3 linked regions of the Arabidopsis thaliana genome follow. The main gene of each other region encodes a partner of the protein of the gene in region 2 in a complex. Each region holds a gene or a part of one and is shown on either strand. Other genes may lie near its edges. The genes, in order: AT5G25450, MPPBETA and AT5G13430. A codon is read from its position in the direction of its gene.

The links.
Region 1: the proteins of MPPBETA (region 2) and AT5G25450 are in contact, whole or in part, in a cryo-EM structure (PDB 8BEP), measured with the Arabidopsis thaliana proteins. Residues at the interface, in NP_186858.1 of Arabidopsis thaliana: Ser45, Pro46, Pro47, Pro48, Pro49, Tyr54, Asp55, Ala57, Ala58, Ile61, Lys62, Ile65, Lys66, Glu69, Pro81, His82, Lys373, His374, Asp378, Gln381, Arg382, Ile385; in NP_197927.1 of Arabidopsis thaliana: Arg34 (codon at 1,542), Leu54 (codon at 1,482), Pro55 (codon at 1,479), Glu57 (codon at 1,473), Ile58 (codon at 1,470), Ala61 (codon at 1,461), Arg65 (codon at 1,449), Ala85 (codon at 1,109), Val86 (codon at 1,106), Gln87 (codon at 1,103), Thr88 (codon at 1,100), Arg91 (codon at 1,091), Ser92 (codon at 1,088), Tyr93 (codon at 1,085), Asp96 (codon at 1,076), Met97 (codon at 1,073), Leu100 (codon at 1,064), Arg103 (codon at 971), Arg108 (codon at 956), Leu111 (codon at 947), Gly112 (codon at 944), Ala113 (codon at 941), Leu114 (codon at 938), Pro115 (codon at 935), Leu116 (codon at 932).
Region 3: the proteins of MPPBETA (region 2) and AT5G13430 are in contact, whole or in part, in a cryo-EM structure (PDB 8BEP), measured with the Arabidopsis thaliana proteins. Residues at the interface, in NP_186858.1 of Arabidopsis thaliana: Asp134, Met222, Gln223, Val225, Glu226, Val232, Asp235, His236, Ala239, Phe242, Gln243, Tyr244, Thr245, Gly248, Arg249, Thr250, Met328, Ile510; in NP_568288.1 of Arabidopsis thaliana: Ala83 (codon at 33), Val84 (codon at 30), Lys85 (codon at 27), Thr86 (codon at 24), Pro87 (codon at 21), Asn88 (codon at 18), Ser89, Lys90, Ile91, Val92.

What each region holds. Positions count from the first base shown.
Region 1 is NC_003076.8:8,855,008-8,858,757, reverse strand, and holds AT5G25450 (Cytochrome bd ubiquinol oxidase, 14kDa subunit), read right to left. Parts: upstream 1,842-3,750; 5' UTR 1,723-1,841; coding exon 1,629-1,722; intron 1,548-1,628; coding exon 1,390-1,547; coding exon of another isoform or gene 1,372-1,389; exon of another isoform or gene 1,110-1,371; coding exon 1,062-1,109; intron 978-1,061; coding exon 909-977; 3' UTR 282-908; downstream 1-281. Other genes in the region: AT5G25440 (Protein kinase superfamily protein), read left to right, coding at 2,036-2,093, 2,185-2,438, 2,564-2,699, 3,055-3,197, 3,280-3,406, 3,503-3,750. UniProt on the Arabidopsis thaliana protein: Component of the ubiquinol-cytochrome c oxidoreductase, a multisubunit transmembrane complex that is part of the mitochondrial electron transport chain which drives oxidative phosphorylation.
Region 2 is NC_003074.8:363,515-367,264, forward strand, and holds the start of MPPBETA (Insulinase (Peptidase family M16) protein), read left to right. Parts: upstream 1-2,034; 5' UTR 2,035-2,109; coding exon 2,110-2,781; intron 2,782-3,273; coding exon 3,274-3,438; intron 3,439-3,528; coding exon 3,529-3,666; intron 3,667-3,745; coding exon 3,746-3,750. Other genes in the region: AT3G02080 (Ribosomal protein S19e family protein), read right to left, coding at 624-696, 801-984, 1,070-1,160, 1,564-1,647. UniProt on the Arabidopsis thaliana protein: Catalytic subunit of the essential mitochondrial processing protease (MPP), which cleaves the mitochondrial sequence off newly imported precursors proteins. Preferentially, cleaves after an arginine at position P2.
Region 3 is NC_003076.8:4,305,954-4,309,703, forward strand, and holds the start of AT5G13430 (Ubiquinol-cytochrome C reductase iron-sulfur subunit), read right to left. Parts: upstream 1,618-3,750; 5' UTR 1,447-1,617; coding exon 1,272-1,446; intron 105-1,271; coding exon 1-104. Other genes in the region: AT5G13440 (Ubiquinol-cytochrome C reductase iron-sulfur subunit), read right to left, coding at 2,478-3,121. UniProt on the Arabidopsis thaliana protein: Component of the ubiquinol-cytochrome c oxidoreductase, a multisubunit transmembrane complex that is part of the mitochondrial electron transport chain which drives oxidative phosphorylation.

The sequences.
Region 1 (3,750 bases), on a different chromosome or scaffold from region 2:
CTACGACATAACCTGCATCCAAGCTTGGTCAAGCTCATTGGTTACGGTTCGGATGATAATTGTTGTTCATTGTTTCTGAATACTTTCCAAACGGAAGCTTAGAGCGTTACATTTATAGGAGTAAGCAAGCTAGAAAATTGTATTGAGCGCATTTCTTAGAATTTACTACGAACCTCCTGAATACATATTCTCAGGTAAGTCCTCTCTCAAGCTACAGAATGACCATTAAAATTCATACACTAACCTAAAACTGATTGCACGGTAATACGCATATACAGGGAGATCACACATGGCGGGCGATGTATACAGCTTCGGTGTTATACTATTTGAGATCTTAACTGGTTTGGGAAACCCGTGCATCATCTTAGCAGAGGAAGCAACAGAGAATAGAAAAGAAAACATTGTGGAAATGATCGATCCAGATTTAGAGAATAGCTATCGTGTTGAAGAGGGGATGCGTATGTGCAAGCTCATAAAACTGCCTTGAAAGAGATCCCAAGGAAAGACCATCCATGCAACAAGTGCTAGATAATTTGAATGCTATAGCCCATATTTGAGAGGACAAACTAAGGGTTATAAAGGATTGTGGTTCAGAGGTTACACGCCTCTCTTCAGAGCTCCTATGAGGAACTGTGAAAACATTTCCAAAAGCTAGCTTAAGGGTTTGTGTGCCTTTATGTCTTTATGTAGCATGATTTACTCTCCTCCTACCGGTGTGGGATATTTTACTCATATTTCTGTAATAGCTCAATCAAGCTTACATTACACATCCAATTCAATCTCATAAAATCTTATACATAAGGTTCACATATCCATGCATAACCATACAAAAGCAAATTGTGCGGTATTGAAGCCTAAAGAGTACTAAAACAGTGACCCTACTATAAGCACAAGAGAGACTAACATGCTTAAGGAATGGTTCTTTGGTAGAGAGGTAAAGCTCCCAAAGCCTCTCTCTCAGCTCTCTCCCGCTTCACCTGCACATGAAGTGTCGTGTGTTAGAACTTTGCTATATGATTCTTCTATCACTACAAGATAGATAAAACTGTTTTTGTTCTTACAAGAGCCAACATGTCTTGGAGGTAGCTCCTGAATGGAGTCTGCACTGCCTGTGGAATTACAGAGACAAGGAAAAGAAAAAAAGATTTACATAAGCTTCCTATCTCACAACTAACAAGCACTATCTCAAAAAAAACTTCTTTCATAGACAAGATCTTACAAAGCTTATCAAGTTACAATTATATTACAGAACCAAAACAGGTTTCTGAAAACAGAGTGTTCTTGATCCTAATACAAGTCTTAAGTCAAATCTTGCAAGCTCTATCTACAAACTCCATAGCTATATACCGTTTTAGCTCTGTTGTCACTTACTTAGAGACTAAAACATACCTGAAGATTATCTGGGAGGTATTCATGTTTCATAGAAAGATCCATTGCACGCATAAGACGCTGGTTCCGAGCATCAACAATCTCTCTCGGTAAACGATTAAGAGCTTCTTTAATATCCAAATCATACAAAGGATCATAAAGATCGTCGTATCTAAGACCTAAAAAATCGTAAAATTCCCAAAATCAGCCAGAAGAGAATTAGGGTTTGGTTTCTAGGGTAAGAGAGAAAGAAAGAGTACCGTATCTGCGGAGGCGATTAGAAACAGACTTCATATGCATACGAGCTAAGAAATTCTTCCTGGGATCTACTAGTCTCTGGAGAAACGACGCCATTATCTTCTTCGGAGTAACGTTGAAGATGTGAATTGTGATGAAACCCCTTCGCCGCTATTTGTAATTTAACCCGGGAACGAAGAAGGAAGAAGCATCCAGAGACATCTGTTTAAACGCCGTCGTATGAAACTCTAGCCAAACGGCGTAGTATGTACTCTTATCAAAAAACGGCGTCGTATGACTCACCAAATAAAACGCGTCAACCGTTGACTCTCAAACGCGTTTTCGTTGACTTTGCTCCTCGGTGTGAAAAACTAAAAGTCCTCTCTTCTTCATTGAACTCTAGTGTTAAGATTTAGCAGAGAGTATCCGAATGGGAAATTGTCTCTCAGCTTCGACACTTCCCACCGAACCAAATGCTCCCAAATCAGGTATACATATATATATTTCTCTGCGGATTTAAGTACTTTTGATTTGAATGTTACTATAATGGATATAAGTTTTGTTATAATATATGTATAGTGGAGGAGGGTGTGAAAGTCTTCACGGTGGCAGATCTGAAGAAAGCGACTAATGATTTCGGAAACCAGATGGAACTAGGAGAGAGCTTGGGATACATCAATCCCAAAACGTTATCTCCGGCCAAGAAAGGTGTTGGCATGGCCGTCGCGGTCAAGAAAATTTACTTAGCCAATGAACAAGCTTTTCAAGATTGGCTTGTAAGTAATTATATCATCTCAATCTATAGGAGAACCTTCGGCAAAACCAATAATATTGTTAAGTTTCTTGTTACTTATTTATTCTTCTAAATTTTTTGATGTTTTTGGATGGTAAATGTCTATGTTGCCTACCCCTAGAGATGGGTCAGTGTGTCTTAACATTAGAGATGATATTTTTGTAGGTTGACGTAGAGTTTCTACGACATAACTCTCATCCAAGCTTGGTGAAGCTAATTGGCTACTGTTATGATCGTGATATGTTGTTTATTGTTTCTGAATACTTTCCAAATGGAAGCTTAGGAAGTTACATCAGTAGAGGTAAGGAAGTTAAGTTTATTCATCTCCTTTTCGTCATTATATCTTGTGAGTAGACTCAAAGCAAGAAGAATCTTGCTCGAGCAAGACCCAAAGGTAAGAGCTCTTAATAAGAGCTTTAAAACTAGATCTAAAAATTGAGATAGCTCATTAGAGCTTTATTTAGTGGAAGTGAGGAAAATATACTAATTGAAGAACACCAAGCTAAATGATTCCTAGATAATTTAATATCATAGAGAGGGAATAAAGAGAGTTGCTCAAATTGATTTCTGGAGCTCTCACGAGTTTACGATCTTAACCTTAGATCCAATAGTAATTCATCTTCCTTTTGGATTTAATGGTTTATATAATATCATAGATAGTCGTCCAAAGTCATTGCCGTGGGAGACACGACTTAAGATATCCATAGGAGCGGCTCAGTGTCTTGCCTTCTTGCACTCTAGGAAGCAAGCCGGTCTATACCGCAGATATCTCACTGCTTCGAAAATCCTGCTCGACTCGGTTTGTATTCACCTTGCCTTTTTTGTTTTTTTTCTTGAATACTTGCTCCTTACCTTTAAAGTGACATTTATGGGATATGCAGGACTTCAACGCAAGAGTTTCCTATTTTGGAAAGCCAAAAGTTTCTCTCGATGAATTGGTATACACCATCGGGTTTTCAAATGTAGCACCTAGATATCAATACCCACCTCCCGAATACATACTCTCAGGCAACAATCTTCTGCTTCTTCCTTATATCTTAAAGTTAAAAGTGACCATTAAATTCAAAGAGACTAACCTTAATTGATTGCACTAATCAAATGAAGGGATGTCGAACATGGCGGGCGATGTGTATAGCTTTGGTGTTATACTACTTAAAATGTTAACTGGTTTAGGAAAAGACCTCACAATCTCAGCAAAGCGAGAAATAAAAAATAAAAAGTACAACATTGTGGAGATGATCGATCCAGATTTGAAGAATAGCTATCCACTTGAAGCGGGAAGACTTATGTGCGAGCTTATTAAACAATGCCTAGAGGTAGACCCGAAGATGCGACCAACCATGCAAGAAGTG
Region 2 (3,750 bases):
AAGATGAACTGTTTATCTCCCGCAGACCATGTCGTTATACGAACTACAACACTGTCTACTTTCATGTTAGTATCATGATTCATGAGAGTTTTGGATGGACTACTTCAAAGTCCAATGTACGTTGGGACTGGCTACATCTTCCGCCGAGAGCAACAGAGAGCATCATTGCTAGTTTGGAATAAGAAAGGTCGAGGCTATCTCTAAGGAAACCAAAAGCTAGCTATGATATTGAAGAAAGATGACATCTCTTTGCCTATGAATGGAGAGAATACAACAAAGAATATAATGTGATGAAGATATCTAATCTTTGCTTCTCTTCTCTCAAAGAAATTTCGGTTAAAAGTGAAGCATAAAAGTGAGATTAGTGGCACTAAAGAAGGATGAAATTAGCAATTTAGGGATGAAGAAACCATATCCTATTATCCTTAAATCGGACGAACACAAAAATACGGTTGAAGACATAAGTTTCAATGTCCAAAGCCATCGCCAAAAAGATAAATTTTTGAACATTATGAGCGCAAGTCTTGAGAATGAAATGGTAACAATTCTTAAAAGTAAAGATAAACACTAAAAGCACAATGGCCTCAAAAGTAGAAGAAGAACAAAAAAGAACATTAAGATCTTCAAGGTTCAACTGCAATACGGCCAGCAACCTGGTCCAAATCCCTTTGGCCACTGGAAGTGATCCTTCTTCCTCTGAAAGAAGAACAAAAGTGATACTAGTATTAGCATAAAAACATTTTTAAAGAGAAACACCTCTAACGTAGTAGTAGTAGTAGTAGTAGTAGTAGTAATGTTACCCTTTGGTGTCGAGCTCAACAATGTTCATTGTCTCCAGCTGTTGGAGGATGTGACGGGCAATACCACCACTGCTTTTGCAAAAGTGAGGTGGGCGACTACCGTTCCTCTTGCTTCCACCATAGATTCTACGGAAAGCACCAACACCAAGTCCTCCCCTCAGGTAAACCTTCCTTGCCATAGATGCTGCACAAGAAGTCATTTTGCTAATTGAAAACTTTATAAACGCATAGAGATAATAAGAGACAAACTAGGATGAAAGAGAACTAACCAGCTCTGATGTAGTACCAATCAGGATCATATGGTGCAAGCTCCTTCAACTTTCCGGTCTTCACAATGTCTGTCCATGTGGGAAGCTCGATCTGAAACAAACAATTATGGTCTCGTGAAAACCAAAACAATTGTAAAAAGTGGAGCTTGACATTCAAGCTATTGTAATTGCTAGTGTAAATTAATTCAACAGACGTAACAAAGCAAATCACAATATTAATCCCAAGCATTTGAATCTTAAGCTGTCTATTAACAAATACTAAGAGTAACACTTGTGATTCAATAAATATTAGCAACATATACAAAATTTCAATACATTCAACAGACATTACACAATTCAAAGTATTATAGAGAAATGCCAACAATCAACAGAAATATCTATGAACTAATGGAAATCATTGCAATTTGAGCTTAATCCATCTTTATTCGAGTACATACAAATAAAGCTTGGAACATTTCTACTCAAACAAAAAAGAAGAGACTTTATCCACTAACCTTGCCAGATCGCTTGAGATGAGAAGCATAAGCCTTGACGAAGTCATGAGGCGAGACGTCTTTCACAGTTTTACCAGTTGCCATGGCTCAAGTTATCAAAAGACTAATCACTGATCTTCGTCTGGGATTTTGCCCAACGCAGCTGAATCTCTCTCCGCAAAGACTAGGGTTTTTATTCTCCAATAACAAAACTTATATATACGGCCACGATATTTCGATTAGGGTTTTCTCCCCATATCCGGGTCAAAAAATCCAACCCGTTCTCAGCCCACACTAATGGGCCTAATTCTTCATACGGCCTTACTATCTAACCAGTATGAATAATGTTCTTTGATACGATAATGCGCCTACTACGGCCTTATTATATCAGTTGACTAGTATTATGTCCTAAACGACACCGTTCTTAATTAGTAACATTAAATGACGTCGTTTTATAATCGCTTAACCACTGGCTATTAGTTCGCATCTCAAGTCGTCTCTGCCATTTTTGGCTTTTTAATCAAACCCTAGAGAGATTGAGAGAGCGAAGAGAAGCCATCATCAGCCATGGCGATGAAGAATCTACTGTCCCTAGCTCGCCGATCTCAGAGGCGTTTATTCCTCACTCAAGCCACACGATCTTCCTCTTCGTTTTCAGCTATCGATTCGGTGCCGGCTTCCGCATCTCCGACGGCTCTATCTCCACCGCCGCCGCATCTTATGCCATACGACCACGCGGCTGAGATTATAAAAAATAAGATCAAGAAGCTCGAGAATCCTGATAAGAGGTTCCTTAAATACGCATCTCCACATCCGATCCTCGCTTCCCACAATCACATCTTGTCAGCTCCGGAGACTCGTGTCACTACCTTGCCCAATGGTCTACGAGTCGCTACTGAGTCAAATCTCTCGGCTAAGACCGCCACCGTTGGAGTCTGGATCGACGCTGGATCTCGGTTTGAGTCCGATGAGACCAACGGAACGGCTCATTTTTTGGAGCATATGATATTCAAAGGCACGGATAGGCGTACAGTGAGAGCGTTGGAGGAAGAGATCGAAGATATTGGTGGTCACCTGAACGCGTATACATCGAGGGAACAGACCACTTATTATGCTAAGGTTTTGGATTCCAATGTGAACCAGGCTTTGGATGTCTTGGCTGATATCCTACAGAATTCTAAGTTCGAGGAACAGAGAATTAACCGCGAACGAGATGTCATCCTCAGGGAAATGCAAGAGGTATGTATTTGTTATCTCTGTACTTAAAAAACTAAACTTTTTGTTCTGTCCTCGATTTATCTTTCGTTTTTTTTTAGTGAGGTGGTACTATGGACCGTAGTTTGTGTTTTTTTAGATCAATACCCTTAGTTTCAGTTTCCCGTGTGCCTGCCTAAAAATGAAAACTTTAGTATGTTCTTAAGTTATCTTCCCTTTTTTTAAGGTTGTATTGGCATAAGCACATGTTCTATAGAGAGATGTTATTGTGTTTATATAAACCATTGCTCTAAAAATGAAAACTTTGTTCTGTTTTTGGATTATCTCTCGCATGTTTTGGTTTTATTGGCTTAGTCATATGTTGGTCGTATTGTTGTTGGGAAATGTGCATGAAGGGAGATACTAGAGCGCTTGGTACTCTGCTCTACGTGTTGGTTAGAGTTATTTGTTTCTTTAATCAGTTAAAGATAGAATACACATTAAGCTTTAGTTTTTTGATAATTGGTTTGGTCGTAGGTGGAGGGACAAACCGATGAAGTGGTTCTTGACCATTTACATGCCACTGCATTCCAATACACACCCCTTGGAAGAACTATTTTGGGACCTGCTCAGAACGTCAAATCGATCACCAGAGAGGATCTACAGAACTACATTAAGACTCACTACACTGCTTCCAGGATGGTATAGATTTTGGTTACTTCTTATCATTTCCTACAATCACTTATTGAATTTTTTAGGATTCTTATCTTGGTTCATCCAAAACATTTTCAGGTGATTGCTGCTGCAGGAGCTGTTAAGCATGAGGAAGTTGTTGAGCAAGTGAAGAAGCTATTTACCAAGTTGTCGTCTGATCCAACAACTACTTCTCAACTGGTTGCCAATGAACCTGCTAGTTTTACTGGTTCTGAGGTAAGGACACAACCATATGATTTTGTTATATGCAATGTTCCATCTTTCTAAATTCTTTAGTCCGTGAAATTCTTCTCAGGTCCG
Region 3 (3,750 bases), on a different chromosome or scaffold from region 2:
ATAGACAATCTTTGAGTTAGGCGTTTTGACAGCTTCGACTGTGGCTGGGACTTCTGAACCAAAACCTATCTCATTTCCTTGAGCAAGGACTTGAGAAGAGAAGCCTGAAAATAGCATGAAACATTAATATTTCACATCAAAGGCAAACTTTATACTTGGTCAAGTGTTCTACAAGAATAAGAATAAGCCACAGGACTACCACAATCAAGATGTGACCATTGATGTATAATCTTCTAAGGAAAAACAAAAGTACATAAAACGGATTCCATGAAGTATGAGATCCATCCAAACAATTCAAACCATCGTATCAAACTCGGGGAGTGGAAACTTAAATACGATAATCTCCATAAAAAAAACAAGAGAACAAATTCAATGATCAACATGGAAACAGAAGAACAAAAAATTGGAATCTAGAAGCCAATGTGAATCACACTATGGATAACGCATTCCAATGATTTACAAGCAAGGAGCTTTAGTCATCAACCAAAGAATTACATCTAAACAGGTCAATCCATAATCCATCAATAAACTCAAATGTTCATTTCCTTCTGGACGAAAGAATGAATCAGAGAAGCCAAGTATACCAAATTCATCCAAACAAATCAATAATAACAAATTCAGTGAAACCTTAAATACTAAAACCAACGTAATAAACCAAGAGAAAAAAATATATTGATCAGATGCTGTATATTACAGAAACGCTTAAAACACAACAAAATTTCCAATGCTAAGAACAAACAAAGCTCTTTGGTTAAGAAAACATAAATTTCAGAATGCAAGTTCCTCAGCATGCCTTTAAACAGCTATAAATCCTACAAACATAGTATACAGTTAAAACATCCATGTCCCTAACAATGAAGAACTCAAAAGGATTGATACACAAGATCAAATTTCAAAAACCAAGAAGCCAGTGGTGAATCATACTATGATTAACGCACCGAAAAGAGGAAACTTTCCTAGTAAAACAAAGGATTATCTCAGAACTGAACAATCCACACGAAAGAAGTAATCATCAAATGCAATACAAATCCAGCAAGGAGAAGAATGTAGCCAAATGGTACATCAAGCTCATGGAATTCAAATCAGATGACACGTTTGTTCCCACGGATCATTGCAGATACAATACTAGAAATCTCAATCATTCCCGTGAATCATACAACCAAAAAAAGAAGACCTTTTCAAAAATCAATCAATCAAATAAAACTGCAAAGAACCACCGAAAATGAAAAATCAATGTAGAGAGAGAGGGAAAGGGTTATAAATCGGCAAACCTCTGATAAGGCTACGGTGGTAAGATGAGAGATCTGCAGAGGGGAGGGATCTGGGAGCTGAAGAGGAGTCGCCGCCACCATCGGAAAGGGTATGGTCACGGGAGACGACGAAGGAGGTCGCAGTCGAAGATCTCTGCGAGACAGAGAAAAGCCTCCTCCCTGCTACACGCAGCATCTCTCAGCTCAAATGTGAATCTAGGGTTTCGCTCTAGCTGAACAGAGAAATCCTCAGGTTTGGGACGGCCGATGCAAAACAAAACATAAGAGACTACTTACTAGTAAGTCCCTTAAAAATTGTCTTTGAGAAAAGGTCAATTTGTTTTGTTTTTTTTGGTTTTTGCGTATTACTTGATATTTTTTTACTTCAGGATTTTGATGGCATGGTTTTTTTTCTAATTTTAATTAATAAAATCTTTTGGTTTTACGATATAATTTTTTTGTGTGTGTGTATTTGTAAGATAAATTATTTTATTTGTATAAAAATCGTAATTTTTAATAATAATAATAGGGGGTCTATACTTGGTAAAGGATATATTTTGTTGTTGTAATGTTTAAACAAGATTTCCAACAAAAAGACTGTTTTACATCTGTGTGAACTTTTCAATACTAGAAGAAAGAGCTAGAAGGACATCATCAAAGAAGTAGTCATCGATGAAAACAATCTGAACAAGAAAATTAGGCTAAGATCCACAACCAGAATATGACATCTTTCATCAAAGTAGTAGTCTCGAGGTTCACAATTGGATTTCTCACTATGGAAGAGAAGGTTTATGGCTTAGTTGAGAATTGAAGGTCTTCGAAATGTCGTCTCCAGTAAGAACACGAAAGTTTTATAACACACCTTGAACCTTACCAAGTTTTTGTCTCAATTGTGATAATGGCTACAGACTTTAAGGAAAGGAAACTCTCTTACAAACGATATGTTACAAAATTACAAACATAAGAAAAATAGGGATGATACTATTCAAAACTCTTTTCAAATAATAAACAGAGACTATGAAGTATGAACAATGTATTTTCACCAGATGAGACAGATACTAAGTCATACAATGACAAGTTTGTATTATTCAGCAAAACAAGCCAATTTTTGCTGAGCCCAAAGTGTGAGGAAAGCGAACTTGCACGCTAAAATGCCGGAAAATATAAAAACAAAAACAGATTTAAGATCATCCAGACCATGACACTCGGACTGTTGTGCTTTATTCATTAACCAATGAGTAATTTATTCTCTTCCAAGAAGCTGTAGGTCGGTACTTCCAGGTTGTATGGTGCAGGACCTTTCCTAATTCTTCCAGATATATCGTAATGTGATCCGTGACACGGACAAAACCAACCACCATAATCACCAGCATTAGGCAAGGGGATGCACCCCAAATGAGTGCATACTCCAACCACGATCAACCATTCTGGATTCTTGACTCTAACCGAGTCTTCTTGTGGGTCCCTCAGGGATCCAACATCCACACTATTGGCCAGCTTGATGTCATCTTCTGTTCTTCGCCTGATGAAGACGGGCTTTCCACGCCACTTGACTGTCACGGTAGTTCCTGGTTCTATGCTCCCTAGGTCAACCTCGAGGGATGCAAGGGCAAGGACATCTTTACTTGCAGACATGCTCACAATAAGCTTCAGAACAAGCAGGCGGAGAACAGAGGCATAAACAAACCTTCCACCCGACAAGACAAAATAGGCGAATGCCCGCTTGCTAGGGTCACCAGGTGGGTAACGCTCATGGTTATGGTCGTCATAGACAATCTTTGAGTTAGGTGTTTTGACAGCTTCGACTGTGGCTGGGACTTCCGAACCAAAACCTATCTCATTTCCCTGAGTAATGACTTGAGAAGCAAAACCTGAAAATAGCATGAAACATTAATATTTCACATCAAGGGCAAACTTTATACTTGGTCAAGTGTTCAACAACACCAAGTATTAAGCAAAAATATTTTCAAGAGATAACACAGAAGAAAGGAATAACACTAGCAAACATTTAACATTAATGCATAGAATAACATAAGATTATAAAAACGGATTCCAAGAGATAACAGAAGGTGTCATCCAAACAATTTTCTACCATGATATCAAATTCAGTGAAAACTAAACTAATCTATCTAACGCAAGATCCAAGGAAGGAACTTCAATGATCATAAATGCTTAAAACATAAGAAAACTCCTAAGATAAGATTGCAAACATAGCCCTTTTGGTTAAAGATATGGAATTCCAGATTCGTTTACTGATGCAAGTATCTTATATGATGTGCCCAAAGACGATAAAACATCCATTTCCATAATAATGAATAAACTACATGTCAAAATCGATTATCTCATCAAAAAAGGATTATCTCAAAGCTGGTCAATTCATATCCGATCAATCACTATTCCAGCAAGGAGAAGAATGAGACGAAATGGTACATCAAGCTCTAATACACATCATAAGAATTCAAAACAGATGACTTAATTCCCATAGATCATCTCGCAGATA